Linked DNA regions of Oryctolagus cuniculus. The protein of the gene in region 3 purifies or fractionates together with the protein of the main gene of each other region. This does not show direct contact. Links are inferred from orthologs where the notes say so. Each region holds a gene or a part of one and is shown on either strand. Other genes may lie near its edges.

Region 1 (7,406 bases), on a different chromosome or scaffold from region 3:
CACCTGCAGTGCTGGCATCCTGTATCAGAGCGCCAGCTCCAGTCCCAGCTGCTCTGCTTTCCTCCAGCTCCCCGCTAATGCATCTGGGAAGGCAGATGATGATGGCCACACGGTTCTGGGCTCCTGGCTTCAGCCAGGGCTGTTGCAGCCATTTTGGGATTAAACTAACAGATGGAAGATCTCTGTATCTTTCAAATAAGGGCTGGGTTGAAGCCAGAAGCCAGGAACTCTATCCTGACCTCCTGTGTGGGTGGCAGGGACCCAAGTACTGGGTCATCACTTCTTGCCTCCCGGGGTGTGAATTAGTAGGAAACTGGATTGGAAGCAGAAGCAGGACTCAAACCCAGACATCCAACACTGACAGCTTAATCCATTGCACCATAATGCTCATCCCTTTAGTGTCAGCGTGTGATGCCTTGTGCATCCACTTAAAATTTTTACATCATTCTCATAATGTCTTAAGAAGTGTATATATTTTGTGGCCGGGGCCGTGGCTCACTTGGCTAATCCTCTGCCTGCGGCGCCGGTACCCCGGGTTCTAGTCCCAGTTGCCCCTCTTCCAGGCCAGCTCTCTGCTGTGGCCCAGGAAGGCAGTGGAGGATGGCCCAAGTGCTTGGGCCCTGCACCTGCATGGGAGACCAGGAGAAAGCATCTGGCTCCTGGCTTTGGATCAGCACGCTGGCCGTAGTGGCCATTTAGGGGGTGAACCAACGGAAGGAAAACCTTTCTGTCTCTCTCTCCAACTCTCCTGTCAAAAAAAAAAAAAAAAAAAGTATGTATTTTGAAAGTCAGATTTAGAGAGAGAGAGAGAGAGACTGAGACTTCTATCTGCTGGTTCACTCCCCAGATGGCCACAGCGGCTAGTACTGGGCCAGACTGAAGCCAAGAGGTTCTTTCAGGTCTCCCACGTGGGTGGCAGGGGCCCAAGTACTTGGGCTATATTCCACTGCTTTTCCCAAGCACATTGACAGGGAGTTAGATCAGAAGTGGAGCAGATAGGACATGAACTAGTGCCCATATGGGATGCTGGCATTGCAGGCAGAGGCTTTACCCGCTATGTCACAATGCTGGCTCCACAATGTCTAGTTTTAACAATAGCAGTGTCAAGACAGTATCATTCTGAATGTCTCAAACTATAATCCAGATGCATTATGAAATGTAACTTGTTTATAATTACATTACCAGCCTTTCTACACATGTTCAGTCTGCACTGGTGGACCCCCTTTTCCATTTCTACTCCATGCTACTTGCCAATTTCTATCTTGTACTGCATTTGTAGAAAAGAATCCAACTGTTCAGCATCTCTGGATGGTTTCAGAATACAGATTTTTCAATGAGTCCAATTTTATAAGAATCTTGAAGGCAAGAAAGGCAATCTGGTTCACTTCCCATTACAACAAAACAAAGTATTAGTCCCTTCTTAGGAAGCATCCTGCATTCTCCACTCTATGTGTCATCTTGATATTAATGTGAAGGAAGGCTTGGATTGGTTTTGTAACAATGCTCTGATAAAAACCTAAATGAAGACAGGTGTTTGGTACAGTGGTTAAAATGTTGTTTGGAATACCCATATCCTATATCCAAGTGCTGGATTTGAGTCCCGACTCCCAATTCCAACTTTCTGCTAATGTACACATGAAATGAAGGCTAATGCATGAAATGGGTCGTGTGCTTGGGTTCCTGCCACCCACATGGGAGACATGGATTCAGTTTCTGGCTCCTGGCTTTAGCATGGCCCAGCCCCAGATGTTGCCAGCATGGGAGATCTCTGTCTCTGTCTCTCTGCCACTCAATCATTAACATAAGACAAAAAGTCAAACTGAATTTTTTTTGGCATATTTGAGACAGTGACTCTAAAACTCATTTGAAAACATAAAAGCTCAAGAAGATAAGAAATTACGTTAATGGGTCAGGGATACAGAGTCCGGATATAATAACAGGTTTCACTTACATGCTGCTACACACAAAGCATTGTTTTATATATATGTCTTCAAAAAGTTCATGGAAAGCACGTACTGCGAAAAAACTAAGAAAACTTATTCATTGGGGGCCGGCACCGTGGCTCACTTAGCTAATCCTCTGCCTGTGGCACTGGCATCCCAAATGGGCGCCGGGTTCTAGTCCTGGTTGCTCCTCTTACAGTCCAGCTTTCTGCTGTGTCCCAGGAGGGCAATGGAGGATGGCCCAAGTGCTTGGGCCCTGCACCCACGTGGGAGACCCGGGGGAAGCACCTGGCTCCTGGCTTCGGATCAGTGTAGCTCCGGCCGTAGTGGCCATTTGGGGAGTGAACCAATGGAAGGAAGATCTTTGTCTCTCTCACACTAACTCTATCTGTCAAATAAATAAAAAATAAATAAATCTATTATATTAAAAAAAGGGAAAACTTTTATTCCTTTGAAAGGCAGAATTAAATCTTCCACCTGCTGGTTCAATCCCTAAATGTCCACATCAGCTGGAGTTCAGATAGGCCAAAGCCAGAAGCCAGGAACTTTATCCAGGTCTCTGACATCCATGGTAGGGACCCAAACACTTCTGCCATCATCTGCTGCTTCCCAGGGCGTGCAGGAAGCTGGGTCAGAAGCAGAGTAGCAGGGACTCAAACCAGGCACTCAGACACGGGACGCGAGGACTTCACTGCACAACTCCATTGTTCATGAACTTGTTGGAGATCCCCTCATACATGAAGCATGGAGATAAATAGGTATGTGTATGGTTTAGAAAGATTTGTTTAGGTGGGGACCCGGGGAGGAGGAGACTGGATACAGGAAAAAGGAGAAGGGTATACACAAGACAACAATCTAGGACATAGAATGTAGGCTATGCTCTACAACGTGGTTCATTCTTGTCTCCCAGGCCCTGATAAAGAACAGCTGGAGCTTACCATGTGCTCATTCTCCATGGCATATGTTCCGTACTTCATGTCTCCTCGGCCCCCAGGCGTGGCTGTCAAAGGTGTGCTTTTCACTTCCCGGTGGAGTTTGGCAAGGTCTTTCCGGTAATTTCGAAGCTTAGACATCATCGGGTTGCGGAAAGACAAGGGTGCGTAACGTAATTCCTCTTCCATCTCTGCCAGCTGGGAAGGCAGAAAGTCAGTCATGAGTAGATGGCCTGGTTCCTCGGGGGATGGGCCTGGTTTAGAGTAATCAAACCACAGAGTGCCCCACGTACGTCCTCAGCCAAATGCTTCATGAGGCAGAACTGCACCTGGCATGCTTAACTCATCTGAGTATCTCACAAGCATTAAAAAAAATCTGATGGGAACTGGTGTTGTGGCGCAGCAGGTTAAGCCACCTGCAACATCGGCATCCCACATGGATACCGATTCCAGTCCTGGCTGCTCCAGTTCCCATCCAGCTCCCTGCTAATGCACCTGAGAAGACAGACGAGATGGTCCAAGTGCCTGGATCCCTGCCACCCACATGGGAGATGCAGATGGCGTTCCAGGCTCCTGGCTTCTGCCTGGTCTAGCCTTAGTGGTTGTGGCTGCTTGAGGAGTGAACCAACCGATGGAAGATCTTTCTCTCTCTGTTGCTCCCTCTAACTGTGCCTTTCAAGTGAATAAATCTTTAAAAAAAAAAAAAAAAAATCTGATGAGAAAACAAAACAGAAGCACCTCAAATGACCAAAATGTTGGGCTGGGCCAGGCCGAAGCCAGGTGCCCAGAACTCCATCTGGTCTCCCACAAGGGTGGCAGTGATCCAAGTATTTGTGCCATTTTCTATTGTGCTTCCAGGCACATTAGCAGCGAGCTGGGTGGGAGGCGGACTGGCTGGGATTTGAACTGGCACTTCGATATGGGATGACAGCATCTTAAGTGGCAGCTCAACCACTGTGCCACAACGCTGGCCCTCCTATAGCTTACTAAGTATTTACATTTTGTCATTTTATCCTTAATAAATCGATTCAATAGGAAATACTCTCTCCATCTTACATATAAGACTTAAAAAAAAAAACTGCTCAAGATTACATAATAAGAGGAGTCAGGAATCAAAAATCAACTTCTTAGCTCTCCTCAATATACTAGTTTTCAGCCTGGTTGGCTCAACAGTGCGGCCAAGAAGTCCTGTGAGGACTAGCCTTGTGGCACAGTGGGTTAAGGTGATGCTCGCAATGCCGGCATACCGTACCAGAGTGCCAGCTCAAGTCTTGGCTGCTCTGCTTCTGATCCAGCTCCCTGTTAAGGTGCCTGTGAAGACAGCCAAAGATGGCCCAAGTGCTTGGGACCGGCCCCGATATGAGAGACCAGGATGGAGTTCCTAGCTCTTGGCTTTGGACTAGCCTAACCTGTTTTGGCCATTTTGGGGGGTGGGAGAGAATCATGAACCAGCAGATAGAAGATCGATCTCTCCCTCTTGCTCTGCCTTTTAAAAAAATATTAAAAAGAGGAGCACTTTGCGGTCTACAGTAAAAATGACAGGGTTTGGCACTTGCATTATTCACTTCCTCCTGTTTCTGAAAAAGTTATGTTTGTCTTCATGCAGAAGATAACCAGGGACCACAGAGCAGACTGCTTTCCCCTTTGTGGGATAGATAAAACACCTAGCTAGGTTCACAAGAGGGCCTATATTACTCATCAGCCTGGGTGACCAGAGTAGCTTTGTTAATTTTTCTAAGTTCTGAGAAATAAAGCATCTAAGCACCAAACAGAACGGTGGTAGGGAAAAGATTTTTTTTTTTTTATGCTACCAAGACGACTGGTCACAAAACGGGTATTACGGGTATATTCACCTGTACTAAGAAGGTATTAAGAGATTCTAGTACTCCCATTATAAAGGAGATGGTCTCCACAGCCTGGTGGCCTGGTCCTTTTTAAAACTGATTCAGTGATCCAACATGGGAAGCAGGCCACACAGCAGACTTACAGAATGACAAATGCTCTAATTAGCACTCTGACCTCAGGATCAGCCTGTAAGGCATTTGGATCTGGCTGAAAAGCCCATGAGAGCATTTCAGGCATGGAAAGCCAAGACACTGTGGTAACAAATAATCTACATGAAGGATCTTTGTGAGATCCCAGTGGAAAGAAGGGGCCATCAAAGGAGGTACCTTTCTCTGAAGGGAGGAGAGAACGTCCACTTTGCTTATGGCCCTGTCTAAATACTGATGGAGTTTGTGGACTCAAAAGGCTTCCATAGCCTTGGCAGCTCATGATAAAAGCCTTGGGTGATCACTGATGTCATAAATAAAGTGTTAATTGTTAAATTAATAATGCTGTGCACTGGCTCCACATTTAGGACCTCTGCCCTTAATAAGCTGTACTATGACAAGCTTTAGATCCTATCTGGGAATTCGTCCTATTAAGGAACCACATCTGGCTACTATTTTGTCTTTCAGGACAGGACGGAACATGGCTAGATCCACCTGTGGGCCACAGCTTCTGTGACAGTAAAAGTTTAACAAAGAACAGTAACTGTGGTACACTGGGTCAAGCTACCACTTGCGATGCCAGGATTCCATACTGGAATGCTGGTCTGAGTTTCAGCTACTCTGCTGCTTCCAATCCAGCTTTCTGCTTATGCTCCCATGCCACTCACATGGGAGACTCAGATGGAGTTCCTGGTTCTGGCTTTGGCCTGGCCCAGTCTAGCTCTGTTTATTACAGCCATTTGGTGAACCAGAAGATGAAAGATTTCTCTGCCTTTCCAATAAATCAATTTAAAAAAAAAAAAAAGGCAGAAAAACAATGTTAAGGGGCTGGCACTGTGGCATATTGGGTAAAGTCACTGCCTACAGTGCTAGCATCCCATATGGGTGCCAGTTCAAGTCCTGGTTGCTCCACTTCCGACCAAGCTCTCTGCTATGGCCTTGGAAAGCAGAAGATGGCCCAAATCTTCAGGCCTCTGCACCCACGTGAGAGACCCAGAGGAGGCTCCTGGCTTTGGATTGGTGCAGCTCCAGCCACTGCAGCCATCTGTGGAGTGAACCAGCATATGGAAGACCTCTCTCTCTCTTTCTCTCTCTGCCTCTCTGTAACTCTTTCAAAGAAATAAATCTTAAAAAAAAAAAAAAAAAAAAAAAAATTCACCATCTTAATGGCTAGAGATTTAAAGAGACCACGCAGTTAAAAGCTTGAGAATACTCTTACTACTCACATCAGGAAGATGTTATCAAAACTCTACTTCAGGAGAGTATTCAAGCTTCACCCATTTGTGTTTGTCAACTCCCTCAACACCCACCCCCTTTAGTTGCCTCACTAATTTAGTGAGAAATGGTAAAAATCAAAATCAATAGACAGTGACAGTTAATCTGCAATCAGGTCATAGCATTACTTCTGGAAATACCAGGTAGAAAAAGAAACAAAGACTTGCTCTTACGGTTTCATTTGCTTCTTGCTGCTTTTCATCAAAATCTCTGATCAACTTCTTCTTCTCTTCTAGAAAAGACAGGTAAGTTTCTAAGTCTCATTACTGCTTCCATACATTTGTATATAGGCCATTCCTTTAGCTTAGAATAAACTTCCCATTCCTGGCCTGGTGGGGGTAGCAGTATTTATTCACCCCAAAGGCATTTAAAAACCTATGATTGGGGCTGGTGTTGTGGCGTAGAGGTAAAACCACCCTCTGCGATGCCAGCATCCCTTATGGGTGCCAGTTTGAAACACAGCTGCTCCAGCTCTAATCCAGCTCCCTGCTATTGCACCTGAGAAAGCAGCAGGAGACGGCCCAAGTGCTCGGGCCCCTGTACCCACGTGAGACAAGGAAGAAGTTCCAGCCTCCTGGCTTTGGCCGGCATAGCCCTGGCAATTGTGGCCATTCAGGGAGTGAACCAGCAGGTGGAAGACCTCTCTCTCTCTGCTTCTCCTTCTCTTTCTGTGTAACTCTTTCAAATAAATAAAATATTAAAAAAAAAAAAAAAAAAAACAACTCTTAGTTACTGCTTTTCTGCAAGTCTGCTCCTTTGGGAGGCTGCAGGGTGTGGTGCTTGTCTCCCCCTGGTGGTGGCATGGGTAATGACATGCACCATGAGTGTCATTCCCTTTTTCAACCCTACACGTTATTTTGGTGCTGGTATGTCTTTATATGTAAAATTACTAAACTCCTCCTTTAACAAATATAGGTTCTAGCTCCAGAGCAGTAACTAAGTAAAACAGTGTTCTTTTGCTTTCACTGTAATTTTTCCAATAAGATTATATAGATTTTCCATTTAAAATATGATACCGTTTCCTTCTAACTTTACATGTTAAATAGATGTGTTTTACGTGAAATAAGTTTATGTAAAGAAAACAATTAAAAGTAAAAATGGTACTTGGACATGGCAAAAATACTAAGAGGATACTGGAATGCTGTTACCCAGGAAACATCTGGGGAGAGCGATCAGTCGTGGGCTTAGGTTCTGGTACTAGCTTTGGGTCTGCCTCAACATGTAGGCTTGGATAGTTTTCTTCAGCACTTTGGAACCTGACCTCT
Region 2 (7,406 bases), about 120 Mb from region 3:
GGGGAGCATAAACATTCAGACCGCCACATGTGGTTTCTCTGACCTCCCTTAAAACCTGTGTAGAAATGCCTGAGAGCATAGGAAAGAAGCAGTGAGTGAAAAGGACTCTTACATGTTTCCATTGCTTTCCAATCCCACTTATTATATTACATATTCTTCCTTCTCTGGTTTCCTTCCCTCTCTACTCCTTATGTAATTTTAAACTACGTAGGGCTTCTTTGTTTTGGAGGGAAGAACCACAAAGTCAAGCATAAAGAGCAGATAGGGAGCCAAGGATAAAGCCGAGAAAGAAGCAGCTTTAAGCTAGGAAATGAGCATAGGTCTTAGGAGATTGTCCTCTAGGGTAGGTGGGAAGCGATGCTTTTTTTTTTTTTTTAAGATTTATTTTTATTTTTTTGAAAGGCAGAGTTACAGAAAGAGGGAAAGACAGAGAGATCTTCCATCCTCTGGTTCACTCCCCAAATAGCCACAATGGCCACAGCTGGGCCAGACCCAAGCCAGGAGCCAGAAGCTTCTTCCAGGTCTTGACTATGTGGATGGTAGGGGCCCAGGACTCCAGCTGCGTTGTGCTGGTTTCCCAGGTGCATTAGCAGGGAGCTGGTTTGGAAGTGGAGCAGCTGGGACTTGAACTGGCACCCATATGGGATGCTGACGCTGTAAGTGGTGACTTAACTTGGTACACCACAACGCCAGCCACTCCTTCCCCTTTTTTTTGAAGCATTGCTTTTAACTTTTTTTTTTTTTGACAGGCAGAGTGGACAGTGAGAGAGAAAGACAGAGAGAAAGGTCTTCCTTTTGCCGTTGGTTCACCCTCCAATGGCCGCCACGGCTGGCGCACTGCAGCCGGCGCACCGCGCTGATCCGAAAGCAGGAGCCAGGTGCTTCTCCTGGTCTCCCATGGGGTGCAGTGCCCAAGCACTTGGGCCATCCTCCACTGCCTTCCCGGGCCACAGCAGAGAGCTGGCCTGGAAGAGGGGCAACCGGGACAGAATCCGGCGCCGGCGCCGCAAGGCGGAGGATTAGCCTAGTGAGCCACGGCGCCGGCCTGAAGCATTGCTTTTGATAAACATTTTATTCAGCCATCTGTGCCTGGATTCTGGTCAGTGGACTAAGACAAACATTAGCTATGCAGAAGTCCTGGGCAATTCACTGTGAGAGTTTTATGAGAGAGTTTAGTGGATTGAAATGGTCAGGTAAGACTTAGGTATAGGTAGCATTTACTTTATTTATATATATATATAATATATATATATATATTTTTTAAGATTTATTTATTATTTGAAAGGCATAGTTACAGAGAGGCAGAGAGAGAGAGGTCTTCCATCTGCTGGTTCACTCCCCAAATGAGCACCATGGCCGGAGCTGGGCCAATCTGAAGCCAGGGGTTAAGGAGCTTTTTTCTGGGTTTCCCACATGGGTTCAGGGGCCCAAGAGCTTGTGTCTACTTCTGCTTTCCCAGGTTGTAGCAGAGAGCTGAATTGGAAGTGGAGCAGCCGGGACTTGAACCTGGTGCCCATATGGGATGCAGACGGTGGCTTTACTTGCTACGCCACAGTGCTGGCCCCTTTTTTCTTTTCTTTCTTTTTTTTTTTTTTTTTATTAGAACTGCTAATGTACTTTTCTTTTCTCCCCAAGAGTTAAAATTTCCAATCTGTGCTTCCTTCAGTAGGTGTCAGTGAGGCAGGTTCTTTCTGCTCAGTGATGTGAAGATGCCTTGAAGTGGGTTTACAGGGGTAATATTTCTGAGCACCAAGAAATGACAACATCCTGAAACAGATCTTTTCTCTCCTAGGCAACAGTTACAACACTCCACCAATCAGCTGGCCAAGGAAACAAATGAATTGCTGAAGGAATTGGGATCCTTGCCCCTTCCCTTATCTGCTTCAGAACAGGTTGGTACTTCCTGTTTTGCTTATTCAGTAGGCAGGCAGTATGTGAAACAAACGCAGTTTGGCCCCAAGTGCTAGATGGCCCTCCTCTGAACCTGTTTCCTTACCCGTAAAGTGGGGGATATGTGACCATTGTGCTGATACAGAGAAAGTGTACACTTAGTATAGCAAAGTGTCTGGCATGTGTAGGTACTCCACATGTGGTGGCTGCTGCTGTTATTAATAATCTGTTATCAATGTTTTAATCAAATGGGTTTAATGGAGGAGGGATCTCTATGTGTATCTTTCTGGAGTTGGTTAGCAGTTTTATGTTTGGAGGCTTGGTCCTAGTTTGTTTTGTACCCAGTATCTATAATTTTTTTTTCATATTTTGCAGTCATATTCACATCCCATCATGATTCATTTATAGATCTCAGGCTAAGGAAATGCTCAGGGGAAACGGTTTCTCTGTTGTTGTGTTTTTTGTTTTTTTTAAGGTTTATTTATTTGAAAGAGTGAGAACAAGAGGGAGAAACAGAAAGAGATCTTCTGTCTGCTGGTTCACTCCCCAAATGGCCACAATCGCAGGGGCTGGGCCAGGCCAAAGCCAGGAGCCTGGAACTCCCTCAGAGTTTCCCACCTGAGTAGCAGGGGCCCAAGCACTTGTGCCACCCCCTGCTGCTTTCCCAGGTGCATTGCAGGGAGCTGGATCAGAAGCAGAGCAAACAGGATTCCATACCCGCTGCACCACAACACTGGCCCCAAGAATACCTTCAAGCCACTTTGCTCAGTGGTCATTTCAGTCGTTTAAAAACACAATTTTATTGATGTTCATTGTTCCTTTAACAATGTCATGACTTTTCTTCATGCTTTCCTGAAGTCATTTGTGGCCTCTCCTTCGCTGTGGCTGACTCATTTACCTGTACCATGGCCTTCTCAAATCCTTCCTCTTCCAGGAAGACTGCCTTCACCTATGTTAGCCCATTATGATTCTGCTTTGCTTTCAGCTTCCATACCATTCACTGGGGGCACTTAATTTGCACTGCTTTTCATTATTGGATGTTTTAAATGATGATACCCTGTCCCTGATGACTCTGAAGACAAAGCCTTCTGAATTGTTTTTCAAACTGTGGGTTGTAACTATAGAACAGGATATCATTTCAGTGTGTTGTGGTCAGCATTTTAAAAAATTGAAATAGAGTAGAAAAACCAGAATGTGTACCATAAATAGGGCAAATATTATTACATGAAATTTTTTAAAAAGATTTATTTTCTTTATTTGAAAGGCAGAGTTACAGAGAAAGAGGGAGGGAGAGGCAGAGACATATCTTCCATCCGTTGGTTTGTTTCCCGATGGCCTCAATGGCTAGAGCTGGTCTAGACCAAAGCCAGGAGCTTCTTCTGGGTCTCCCACATTGGTGCATGGGCCCAAGCACACTTGGGCTATCTTCCAGTGTATTAACAGGGAGCTGGATTGGAAGTGGAACAGCTAGTACTTGAACCGGTGCCCATACGAGATGCCAGTGTTGCAGGCAGTGACTTTACCCACTATGCCACAATGCCAGCTATACATGAAATTTTTATTTTATGCATATATGTGCATATGGTACCAGGTCATAAAGTCAAATTTATACTGTAGATTTTTTTCTATTTCTGTCATAAAAGTTTGAAAAGTACTGGTTTGTCCTATTTAATGTAGCATATGTTCAGTCAGGAGTTTTGGTGCCCTCTTGTTCAAAAGAAAGGAGGGAAGACTGCATGCTTTGTCATCCCGCTGCAAAGTAGTTATAAAAAAGGACAGGTATGTCGCATAAGACACTGCTTGGGACCCCTGCATACCCTATCAGAGCTACTGTTTTCAAGTCTGGGCTGGGGCTCCTGACTCCAGCTTCCTGCTAAAGCATGCTCTGGGAGGCAGCAGGTGATGACTCAAATAGTTACGTCCCTGCCACTTGCATGGGATTGAGTTCCTGGCTCCAGGCTTTGGCGTGACCAAGCCTAGCTCTGATGTTGTGTCATATAGGGAATGAACCAGCACATGGGAGATCTCTTTCTCTCTCTCTCTGCCTATCAAATTAAATTAAATTAATTCATTTTTAAAAATATAAAAATTGTGAAAACCCTAATTGATCTTGGCTAAAAAAATAAAGTCATCTTGCTGTAATCACTTTTTAGTTATCCATCTGTGAGTGTTTTAGATGTTATTCATGCTGACTTCATTTAGGAGCCAGTTCCTGCTTGCCATCCAGCATCCCCAGACAGCTCTCAAATTACCCCTTTCTTCTTCTCAGCTATACACTTAAGCAATGTGCACTTTTTTCATAGTAATAAAAAAGGAGTCTATGGGTCTGGTGCAGACAGAATATTCAAAGTGCTTAAGGGTTAAATAGTAGCCTAAGCGAAATATAAATAGAAAGTTAAATTTGCTACCAAAAGTTTCTCATCTAACGTATTCTAAAGGCAAGCAGAAATTATTTTTGGATTATGCATGCCATTGTTCCCATCCATTAGTTTGGATCATTACGCACACAAAATAGATCCACAAATTACCCTCTCTGGTGAAATACAACTCCTTGATTCCTTTTTGCCTGTTGGCTGAGTGCCCTTTTTTCTTTCTACTCTTGTCATCTAGTTAATCTTAGCCCCATAACCCATCTTTTTATGACTATCTTATACACAAACCATAACTCCTACTTTCAGTTTTTTTCCATGTTTACTTGCCATCACTAGTGATTTAACTGCCAAATCCAGTGGCCTTTTTTGAATGTTTATTTACTTTTCTTCAGTTTCCTTTGACCCTCTTGCACATCCTGTCTCTACCGCAAGTTCCTTTCCATGATTCTCTTTCCTTCTTCCCCAGTTCTGGCAACCCCCAGATCTCAGCCCTCTTCCCTGAGGCTGTCACCTCCTAGAAGTGAGCCTCCCCCAGGGCTCGGCCGTTGGTTGTGCACTTTTCTCCTGCTGTGCTTCCTCCCTCAGGAGTCCTATGTACGTTCAGATTTCCCTGTCACCCCTAGGATTATGGTCCCTAGATCTTTTTCCAGCCTCGTGCCCTAGCCTAAGTTTTGGTCCATTTGGCCAGTTTGTGTTCTGACATCTCCTCCTGAATATACTGCCTTCAAATAAATTTCACATATTGTACTGAATTCCTCATGCTTCACCCAAAACTCTTAAGTAAGCTAATTGACAGTATTTATTGTCATAAAAAAGTTTGTGCCTTTTGACCAAAATTTCCCCATTCATGCAAATTTGTCCTAAGGTGGAAGTAGAAAATCTGAGAGAAAATAACAACTGTTTACTTTAGATGCAAATGTCCTGGGTTTACACTCCAACTTTGCCATTTACTGAGAGATCCTGGGCAAATTGTGTACCGCTCTGTGCTTTGATTTTCTGATTGGTAAGATAGGAGCTATAACAGGACCTAATTTATAGATTGTTATGAAATTAAGTGAGTTGTTTTATGTGACAGTATTGGTACATGGTGAGCACTGTATAAATATTAGCTATTAAAATGGCTCACTTCAGGTTTATTTGAAATAGTTAAAAACTGGAAAGTGTCTAAAAGAAATGTTTACATAAAATTTACTTAATCAGGGCTGGTGCTGTGGCATAGCAGGTAAAGCTGCTACTTACAGTGCTAGCATCCCCACATGGGTGCTGATTCAAGACCCGGGTGCTCCACTTCCAATCCAGTTCTCTGCTATGGCCTGTTAAAGCAGGGGAAGATGGCCCAAGTCCTTAGGCCCCTGTACCCACATGGGAGACCTGGAAGAAGTTCCTGGCTCCTGGCTTCAGATAAGCGCAGCTCTGGCCATTGTGGCCAACTGGGGAGTGAACCAGCGGATGGAAGACCTCTCTCTCTTCTCTCTCTCTCTCTCTCTCTCTCTCTCTCTCTCTCTCTCTTTCTCTGCCTTTCCTCCTCTCTCTGTGTAACTCTGACTTTCAAATAAATCTTAAAAAAAATTTACCTGATCAACTTGATGAATATAGATAACATCAAAGATCATAATGGAAAATATTTATAATAAAATATTTAAAAGATAATTTTGGGATGGAGAGCTTGGGAAATGATGTCTCCCTCCTCCTTATTGTTATAATGTTTATTATTTTTTAAAGATTTATTTATTTATTTGAAAGAGTTATACAGAGAGAAAGAGAGGCAAGAAGAGAGAGATTTTCCATTCAGTGGTTCACTCCCGAGTTGGCCGCAGTGGCTGGAATTGCACCCATCTGAAGCCAGGAGCCACGAGCTTCTTCCATGTCTCCCACGTGGGTGCAGGGGCTCAAGGACTTGGGCCATCCTCCACAGCTTTCCCAGGCCATAGCAGAGAGCAGGATCAGAAGTGGCACAGCTGGGTCTCAAACCAGTGCCCATATGGGATGTCAGCACTGCAGGTGGCAGCTTTATCCGCTACGCCACAGCACCGGCCCCATATAATATTGTTTATTTAAAGTTAAAAATCCTAGAAAAAGGAAAAAAAGTTCATCACCCAAACTTGCTTTCAGTATTATCATTCTTTTTGGTTTGAAATTTGAGTTGTTCTTGACTTTATCCCTCTTCTCCTACCACAGTGGCTAAGTCATAATGTTTCTTAAACTCATTTCATTTTTATTTTTTTAGACTTTTATTTATTTATTTGACAGGTAGAATTACAGACAGAGAGACAGAAAGGTCTTCCTTTTGTTGGTTCACTCCCCAATGGCCGCAACGGCTGGAACTACACCTATCCGAAGCTAGGAGCCAGGTGCCTCCTCCTGGTCTCCCATGTGGGTGCAGGGCCCAAGCACTTGGGCCATCCTCCACTGCCTTTCCAGGCCACAGCAGAGAGCTGGACTGGAAGAGGAGCAACTGGGACTAGAACCTGGCGCCATATTGGATGCTGGCACCACAGGCAGAGGATTAACCTAGTGCACCACGGCGCTGGCCCCTGTAACTCTGCCTTTCAAATAAAAATTTTATTTATTTATTTTATTTGAAAGGCAGAGTTACAGAGAGAGAGGGAGAGACAGGGAAATCCTCCATCTGCTGGCCCAATCCCCAAATGGCCGCATGGCCAGCACTGGGGCCAGGCTGAAGCCAGAAGCTTCCTCCAGGCTTCCTATGATGATAGCAGGGGTCTGAGCACTTGGGCCACTTTCCACTGCTTTTCCCCGGCCCTTAGCAGGGAGCTGGATTGGAAGTGGAGCAGCCGGGACACAAACCAATGCCCATTTGGGATACCAGCATTGCAAGCAGTGGTCCTACCCAGTATGCCACAACACTGGCCCCTAAGTTACCATTTTGTACCCATCAAGCTCCCTTAGAAATCTTCATTGCCTTTAAAATCAGCCCCTTCCCTGCTTTTCCAGTATATCTTTTAGCCACTCATGAATAAACCTTTGGTTCTAGCTACACTGTGTCCCTGTAAAAACCTCTAGATTTCTGCCGCTGTGCCTTTGCTCACTGTCTTCTCATGCTTCCACAAGCTTACCCCTTCCTTGAGCTTTTCATGCCCTTTTTCCATCAATGTCCACCTCCTCTTGAGGCCTTTTTTGGCC
Region 3 (8,159 bases):
TCATCATTTAGGTGGCGCTTGAACTTGGGAGGCATATTTTACTCTTCTACTTCCCACCAGAGCAAGTATTCACCACCTTAAAGAGAAAATAAATGTCATCAGAGTTGAGACACCTGGAATAAGGGGGCCTCCTTCATTTTTCTAACTTCAACCACACCCCTCTCACTTGCTCCACTCCAGTGTCTCAGGCCTCTATGAGCAAATAAATGTAACTGCCCTAAGAGAACACGTGTAGGGAATAAATGAATTAAGGCTTGTATAAAATGAAAGAACAAACAGAGGGGAAAACTATGAGGCAGCCCTCTGAAAATGAGTCATTAAATGCTTTAGGGTCAGAAGATGATAGTACACTTCTAGTTCTCTCACTTTTATTTGGTTGTTTAAGCAATGGTGCAGTTTCCTCATCTGTAATATAGTGATTTCTGGCATGGAGTTGGGAAGGTCAAATAAGATAATACATACAGAAATATTCTGCAAATTATGGTGTACCATTGGTGCTCCACGAAAAGTGATGCTTGTAAGTGCTGGTGTGATGTTAGGACTTATGTGTGCATACACATAAACATATATTTTATATTTGGTCTCAACCCTGTTCCCTGACATACAGTTCCTAAAGCACTTGGCATCTGCCAGAGTGTTAACAGTGCCTTTTGTATGCTACAAAATGACTGGTGCCTAGCAAATCATGGGTACCTTAGGATGTGGCAGGTTTAGGAAAGACAAAGCCATGATTAGGACTTCTCAGCTCCAACCTATACTATCTAGGGAGACAGCTGAAGGTTGGGATGATCTCCAGTGGTCAGTGATGATGTAATCAATCAAGCCTACTAATGAGGCCTCCACAAAATCTCAACAGGCCCATGTCTGTGAGAGCTTCAGGACAGTGAAACATACAGCGATTCCTGGAGGGTGGCAGGCCTGGAGCAGGCATGCAAGCTCCACACACTTCCTCCTATATCTTGCCCTGAGCGTGTCTTCCATTCCATCTGTTGTTCTTTGGTATCCTTTGTAATATCTTTTATAAGCTGGAAATGTGTTTCCCTAAATTCTATGAGCCACTCGACCAAATTCACTGAACCCAAGGGGAGGATTATGGCCACCTTGATTTACAGTTGGTAGATCAGAAGCACATGTAAAACAACATGGGACTTGAGATCGGCCTCTGAAGTGGGGGCAGCCTTGTGGGCTGGGCTCTCAATCTGTGGGGTCTGATGCTATCTCCAGGTAGACAGTGCCAGAACTAAACTGAATTCAAGGACACCCAGCTGGTGTCCACCAGATAATCTATGAAAGAATTGTTTGCCCCCCCCCCCCCCAATTCTAGGGTCACAAAAGTGTTCTGTGTCATGAGACAGTAAAAAAAAAAAAAAAAAAAAAAAAAAAAAAAAAAAAAAAAAGCTGTGTTTGTTTTCCTTATATCAGAACTGAGGTAAGTAGCTCCAGTCTTTGCTACAGAACCATCTCAGCCCCTTACATGTTAACATGCATAGTAACTTTCTAGGAATATGCTTGAGTATGCAATATAATTAAAATTTTCTGGCAGAAAAAGCTGTCCTATGCAAATATGAATTTTCAGCATTTTGAACTTGATGGGTGAATATACAGCAATTCAGAATAGCTAAGATGTACTGAATGTTATTTACTATGGGCTGCACCTTGCACTCAGCCATACACATGCATTTTTCTCTTTTAATCTTTGATACTCTTTTGAAGTAGGCACTAAGAAACTGAGAGAAAAAATAAGGCTTAGTAAATACAAATAACAGTGTTTGTCATTTCAGTCATTGAAATAGCAGAGACATAAACCTAAATTGCTCGACAGCTGTGCATTATCAGCTTTCTTTGCTTATTTGAGAGGGAGGGAGGAAGGGAGACAGAGAGAGAGAGAACATGTTCCCAGCTACTTGCTCACAAAATGTCCACGATGGTCCCCTACCAGCTGATGCCAGGAGCCTGAAACTCAATCCACGTCTCCCACATGTGTGGCAGGAACCCAATCATTTCAGCCATCTCTGCTGCCTCCCAGAGTGTGCATTAGCAAGAAGTTGACACCAGGAGCTGGAGCCAGGAATGGAACTCAGGCACTCAAATGTGGGATGCAAGCATCTTAACCAGTGTCTTAACCACTATGCTAAATGCCTGCCCCCATAATTAGCTCCAATATTTACTCAATTAGGTTACACATTTCTGTCCTGGAAAACACATTTTCCCATGATAATCCAGGAGCCCTGTTCCCTCTTCATAAGAATTTAAGATCTTTAAATTAGGTATTGTTAGGCATTAGTTTGTTAGCTAATGTTGGGCACTGAAGAAAGAAAAAGGACCAGGGTATAGGTTCAAAGACCTAATAAAGGTAATAAATATTTTGAGCCAGCTTCCTATAAAAAAAATACTGAAAAGAAATGTTTCCAAGTTAGAAACTCAACCACTTGTCACATAAACCAGTGTTGCCACCTAAGTAACAGTTCCAGAGTTCTTCAATTCACAGTTTTTGTCACATACGTCCTGTCCATTTATTCCCCATATTTCAATTTCCAAATAATTCATCCATGCAGGAATGTTGCAGAATGCATGGAAAAACAGATGACAAAGCAAATAACTGAGAAACTTGAGCTTTTCTCATGTGTTTGTTTATATTTTAAACCCTACAAAGAGGCTGCCTCAGCAGCCCCAAAGCAAGACTTGTAAAATGCCTTTATGAGACCTAAAGATAAGATCTTAATGATGAGCAAACCCCCTTCGAGGTCCCATTCTCCAAGAATCAACCTCACAAAGTCAAGAAATCATGTCTGACAAACAGAAAAGCCAGAAGGAAGATTAATTAGCTATGCTTGAGGAGTCACAAGGCAACAGATATTTGTATCAAACTAGTAGAAATAAACCACGCTCAGCTATTGGATTCGTACATATTCTGCCTAAGATTTCTCCTACAAAAATACCTGTGAATTTAGGTGTTTGTATGTAAATGAGGCAGCCACCATTATGTATTGCCACACTGAGGACAGGCACCACTCCACAATTCACTTTAAAAATGTCACAACACTTTATACTTCTTACATCATCATCACAGGTAAAAAACCTCATGTACGCATTTTTGTAGTGTGTTCTCTATTCCGTGGCTTTATATGTAATAACCTTCTAATCTGCTGCTTAATAAATGCTGACTTTTTGCTTTCCAAAGAAAACCAAACACACACACACACCATTTATGTTTTTCAGTTCACAAAAGCTGGAATTTGAGCAGCCTTCCTTTTCCCAGCCTCCAATCCCTTTCTGACTTCTCTTTCCCATCTCTCAGCAGCTTTGGTTGCCCTCTCTCAGAAATAGAGACTTGGCTGGACACACTGGAGATGTTATTCATACAACCTGTCAAGTGTACTGCCCGACCCCCGCCTTCCGGGGTTAGAAACGTACACGGGCTGGTGTTTTCGCCCCAGCCCTTCCTTAAAGCACCATTTCCATAGCCTCCAACAGGCAGCTCCCCTTACTCCAGCGATCGCACCAGGCCACGGACCCCCACGTCTGCTAACTCGGGCCCATCCTGCCCCTGACACCCACTCACCCCAGCTACCTCCCGCTCTGAACAAATCTTCCTCATCCACGCACCCTTCTCTTCCCATCTCCCCAGCGCACCCCTCACCTCCAGTCTCCACAACCGCCCCCCATCCGCACACCCCGTCACCGACCCCGGCCCCAACCCCTTCCCTCTCAGGGCTCCTCGGCCCCCGGCCCCTAGACCCCTGCCCGCCTAGCCCGACCCGGACGTTGGGGGGCCGTGGGGCAGGGGCGTCGTCTTCCTTTCCTGCCTCCTCACACCAGCCCCTCCCGCCGGGAAGAGGCCGGCGCCAGTACCTGAGGCTCCCGGGGAGCTCCCGGCAGCTCTCCCGAGCGGGCGGCGCTGGGCGGGCGGGGGAAGGAGCGGGAAGCCGAGGGAAAAGGCTGGGAGGGGGAGACAGTGGGCGCGGACCCGGCGTCGGCCGCTGCGCCGCAGCTGCGCCCCCGCTCATCGAGCCGATCGGCGCTCCGCGGCCTGGCTGCAGGCGGAGGGGGCAGCCCAGGGCGCGGCGATCGCCGAGGGAGTCGATTCCGCCCGCTGCGTCTAACCCCGAAGAACCTCTGGCCTTCCAGCCGTCTGAGATCTGGATACCCAAGCTATGCTGTGTTTTGAGGAGGAACAGTGGTTCTCGAGGTGCTGGCGCGCATCAGGCGTGCGTGGTGGGCGCGAGGGGAGCGGTGTCGGAGCCGCTGAGAAGTAGCTTAGGGTGGGGCTCGGAGCTTCGTGACTGGGGTCGGTAAGACCTTTAGGTGGTGCTTGTGCGAGATCCGTCCCCAGGCTGAGGAAGTCGAATGGGAAGAGGAAGGTGGCTTAGAGGACCAAGGGACACGCAGGGAGAGGAGGAAGTAGACACGCTCTTACATGCTGCTGCTGTTTCTGTGTGGTTGACTTAATGCACTAATTGAAAAGGCGCCGCTAAGGCTTGCCCCTGGAGTTGCCGTATCCGGAAGGCTTGTGAAACTACTGGTGCCCGGGCACTACTCAGATTCTGATTTAGTTTGCTATGTTCACAGACTGCGAGCAGTGGGGTTGGGCTCCCTCAAGAGCTGGAGTTCGCTACTGATGAGGACAAAAGTGGTCCATCTGGAATGGAAGCCTCTTGTAGTTTCTGTCCCAGCCTCCACGGATAACCCAGAAATTAGTTCTTCTCTGAAGTGATTTTGTGTCTGTACTATTTGTGAGTAATCTATTCTTTTTCTTAGTTTTTTTTTTTTTTTTTTTTTAGATTTTTAAAAAATGCTTTGACTTGTAAGTAAGAATGTCAGAGACAGAGGAAGAGACACAGAGAAAGAGAGCTTCCTTGTACAGGTTCACTCCCCAAATGGCTCTAACAGCCAGGTCTGGTCTAGCCCGAAGTCAGGGGCTGGGTTCTCTTTCCTGGTCTCTCACGTGGGTGGCAGGGCCCAAGTACTTGGGCCATTTTCTGCTGCTTTCCTATGTAAGTTAGCTGGGAGTCAGCTAGGAAGCTCCAACCAGTGCTCTGATACAGGTGGTCAGCATCCTAAGTGGTGGCTCAAGCTACTGCGCCACTGCGTTGGCCTCTTAGTCTTTTAACCAAAAGGATCTGCCAGTCTTTTTGGTATGATTGCTTACGGGAGGGAAAATACAAACTTCACCTTTAATCACTTGAACAAAGTCCCTTTGATTTCCCTAACATGTGTGAAAACTTAGAAAATGTCGTTTTACAGTTACCATGAATCCAATATGCCAGTAAACCTGAAAGATGATAAATAACACTGAATTTAGAGTCAGGACTCCAGCCAACCTGAATTATATTATTTCCTCCCCTGTTTTCTTTCTCATGAACTCCAGTTATGGAGACGGTAATTCTTCACTTTTTCTTCACATTTAAAAAAATTCCTTTTATTTATTTGAAAGGCAGAGAGAGATCTTCCATCTGCTGGTTCCATCTGCAAATTCCTACACTAGCCAGGGCTGGACCAGGTCAAAGTCAGGAGCTGAAAATTCAATCCAGAACTCCCATGTGGGTGGTAGGCACCTACGTGGTTAAGCCATCACCTGCTGTCTCCAGTGACATGCATTAGTAGGAAGCTAGGGTCAGAAATGTGATGGGGACCTCGAACCCAGGCACTCAGATATGGGATGTGGTGTCTTAACTGCTGGCCCAAAAGCTAGTCTCCAACTCTTTTTCAACGTAAGACCTTCACCCCTAAAGGGCCCCAGTGTCATTGTAACTAGAGAACCTATGTGTTGCCCTCTGCCAAGACTAAATCTCTGGGCTTTGGCTGGGATAGGGATGGGAATATGAGCATCTGATCAATTCTTAAACATATTTTCTGTAATTCCTCCTGTTAGCCCACTTCATGCTCTTTTCCAGGATTACCTGGCACTTCCAGTTCCTGAACCTTACGTGAACTTTAGCTGTGTAAATCAGGTTGTTCCATGACCTGATTAGAATCTATTTCTCAGGTGTGCAACTTGATTCAGCTACTTAACAGCTTTCAACGTTTTGTTGCTCTTGTCTGTCATGAGGCAGAAGTGCAAATCAAATACAAGCATGTGAGCAAATTTCAACCGTCACTCAAAAATGTGAATCAAAATAAACAGATAAAATACCACTCTTCATGTATCAGTGACTAGGAAAGGAGGAGTTAAACAGATCTGCAGTCCATTCTCACCATAGGGAAATACTGCTACCAAGCAAACAAATGTGAAATTCATATATATACGATAATGACAAACCTTCTGGCAAATAAACTTGATATTTATTAGCAGGAAAGTCCATACCAGTGGAATTTCTCTGGGCTAGGATTGCTAATGGTAAACACATCAGGGATCTGTAGATTTCAGGGGATTGACTCCTGGGAAAATACCATGTAAGTTTTGTAACTTGGCATAAAATGGAGATGTTTTGTAACTGAGTTGTCTCCTGTGTAAGTAGGAGTAGGGTGACTGCACACCTTACTTAGCACATCTTACCCTTTGCCAAGACATATCTGAAACAGGAAGAAAGCTCCTAGGAAGTAGCACTGAGTCCTGGATCTGCCCTTTCTACCTTTTGATTGTTCGTATTCTTGAAGTTATTGGTATAGTTTGATACTGGGTAAGAGGTAGGATCTGTTTGAGTTTGGTTTGACGATTTGATCCTTTGTGTTAGCTCAATGACAAAGCTTGAAAAGTTGGATAATATAGTGTTGCATGTGCATGGTGGTATGGGGTCAAGTGGGAGAAACGGTATTCCTAACGCTGTTAATGATGAATTTGTACTGATAATGACAGTACAAATTCATGCAAAGTTTTTTCAAGTTCAGAGTAATAGTGTGTGTCTACATTTTATATGAAGTTGCTTGGTTCTAATAGCTCCACTTCTAAAATTTATCCCATCAACAGTCAAGCTGTATATAAATGTTCTATATTCTTTTTTAAAAAAGATTTATTTATTTGAAAGAATCACACACAGAGAGAGGTCTTCCATCTGTTGGTTCACTCCCCAGTGGGCTACAACAGCCGGAGCTGCACCGATCTGAAACCAGGAGCCAGCAGCTTCTTCTAGGTCTTCCATGTGGGTGCAGGGGCCCAAGGACTTGAGCCATCTTCTACTGCCTTCCCAGGCCATAGCAAAGAGTTGGATCAGAAGTGGAGCAGCTGGGACTCGAACCAGCGCCAGCATTGCAGGCAGCTACTTTACCTGCTATGCCACAGCGCCGGCAGTGTTCTATATTCTTTACATGATTTTTATAATAGCAAGACTCAGAAAAAAAATTTAAAAAAAATAAAAGCCTTTAACTGTCCAACAATAGAAAATTGCTGAAATAACTCATGGTATATCCATTCATGGGGATAGTCATAAGCCCCTATAATGAACTACATAAATCTACACCCGCCAACATGGGGGTATTTCTGTGATGTGCTATTTAAGGTGAGAAATGCAGTGTACAGAAACACTTAAGTATCTTACACACTAAGAGAACTAGGAGCCTGGCATGGAAAGTGTGACGAACTGAATTGTGTCCCCTTAAAGTTCGTATGTTGAATCCCTAACCCACAATGTGACTAAGTGTGGCAGGGCCTTTAGAACAGTGGTGACTAAGGCTCATGTTGTGAGAGTAAAACCCTAATCCAATAGGCCTGGTGCCTGAGTGCCTGAGTGCATGGGCACACGAAAGCACAGTGATGTTTACAGTCTAGGGAGAGGGGACTTTGAGCCTCAGAACTGAGAAAATAAGTTGCATTCTCACCCAGCCTGTTGTCATTTGGTATGTTATCCCTAGCAGACTAATCCAGAGGAAAACCTTTCCCTCACGTGTGGTGCTTTGTACCACCTGTATCACTTTTTCCATTAACACAAAACAATACCATGATACAGGCTCACTCTCTTTCCCAAGTCTGGGGCCGGTGCTGTGGTGCAGCAGGTTAAAGCCCTGGCCTGAAGCGTCAGCATCCCACGTGGGCACCAGTTCAAGTCCCGGCTGCTCCTCTTCCAGTTCAGCTCCTTGCTATGGCCTGGAATAGCCGTAGAAGATGGCCTAAGTCCTTGGGCCCCTGCACCCACATGGGAGACCTGGAAGAGGCTCCTGCCTCCTGCCTTTGGATTGGCACAGCTCCAGCCGTTGCAGCCATCTGGGGAGTGAACCATTGGATG

Evidence for each region.
Region 1: the proteins of VAMP4 (region 3) and VTI1B purify together in Homo sapiens (affinity purification with mass spectrometry; 4 studies listed by BioGRID and IntAct, counting the BioPlex papers as one, with this or other methods). This does not show direct contact. The link is inferred for Oryctolagus cuniculus from reciprocal best matches to the Homo sapiens genes VAMP4 and VTI1B.
Region 2: the proteins of VAMP4 (region 3) and STX12 purify together in Homo sapiens (affinity purification with mass spectrometry; 3 studies listed by BioGRID and IntAct, counting the BioPlex papers as one, with this or other methods). This does not show direct contact. The link is inferred for Oryctolagus cuniculus from reciprocal best matches to the Homo sapiens genes VAMP4 and STX12.

Annotation. Positions count from the first base shown.
Region 1 is NC_091451.1:13,549,381-13,556,786, forward strand, and holds part of VTI1B (vesicle transport through interaction with t-SNAREs homolog 1B), read right to left. Parts: intron 6,374-7,406; coding exon 6,315-6,373; intron 3,074-6,314; coding exon 2,882-3,073; intron 1-2,881. UniProt on the Homo sapiens protein: V-SNARE that mediates vesicle transport pathways through interactions with t-SNAREs on the target membrane. These interactions are proposed to mediate aspects of the specificity of vesicle trafficking and to promote fusion of the lipid bilayers.
Region 2 is NC_091438.1:143,823,950-143,831,355, reverse strand, and holds part of STX12 (syntaxin-12), read left to right. Parts: intron 1-1,792; coding exon 1,793-1,892; intron 1,893-7,406. UniProt on the Homo sapiens protein: SNARE promoting fusion of transport vesicles with target membranes. Together with SNARE STX6, promotes movement of vesicles from endosomes to the cell membrane, and may therefore function in the endocytic recycling pathway.
Region 3 is NC_091438.1:26,788,505-26,796,663, reverse strand, and holds the start of VAMP4 (vesicle-associated membrane protein 4), read right to left. Parts: upstream 4,074-8,159; 5' UTR 3,853-4,073; intron 77-3,852; 5' UTR 36-76; coding exon 1-35. UniProt on the Homo sapiens protein: Involved in the pathway that functions to remove an inhibitor (probably synaptotagmin-4) of calcium-triggered exocytosis during the maturation of secretory granules.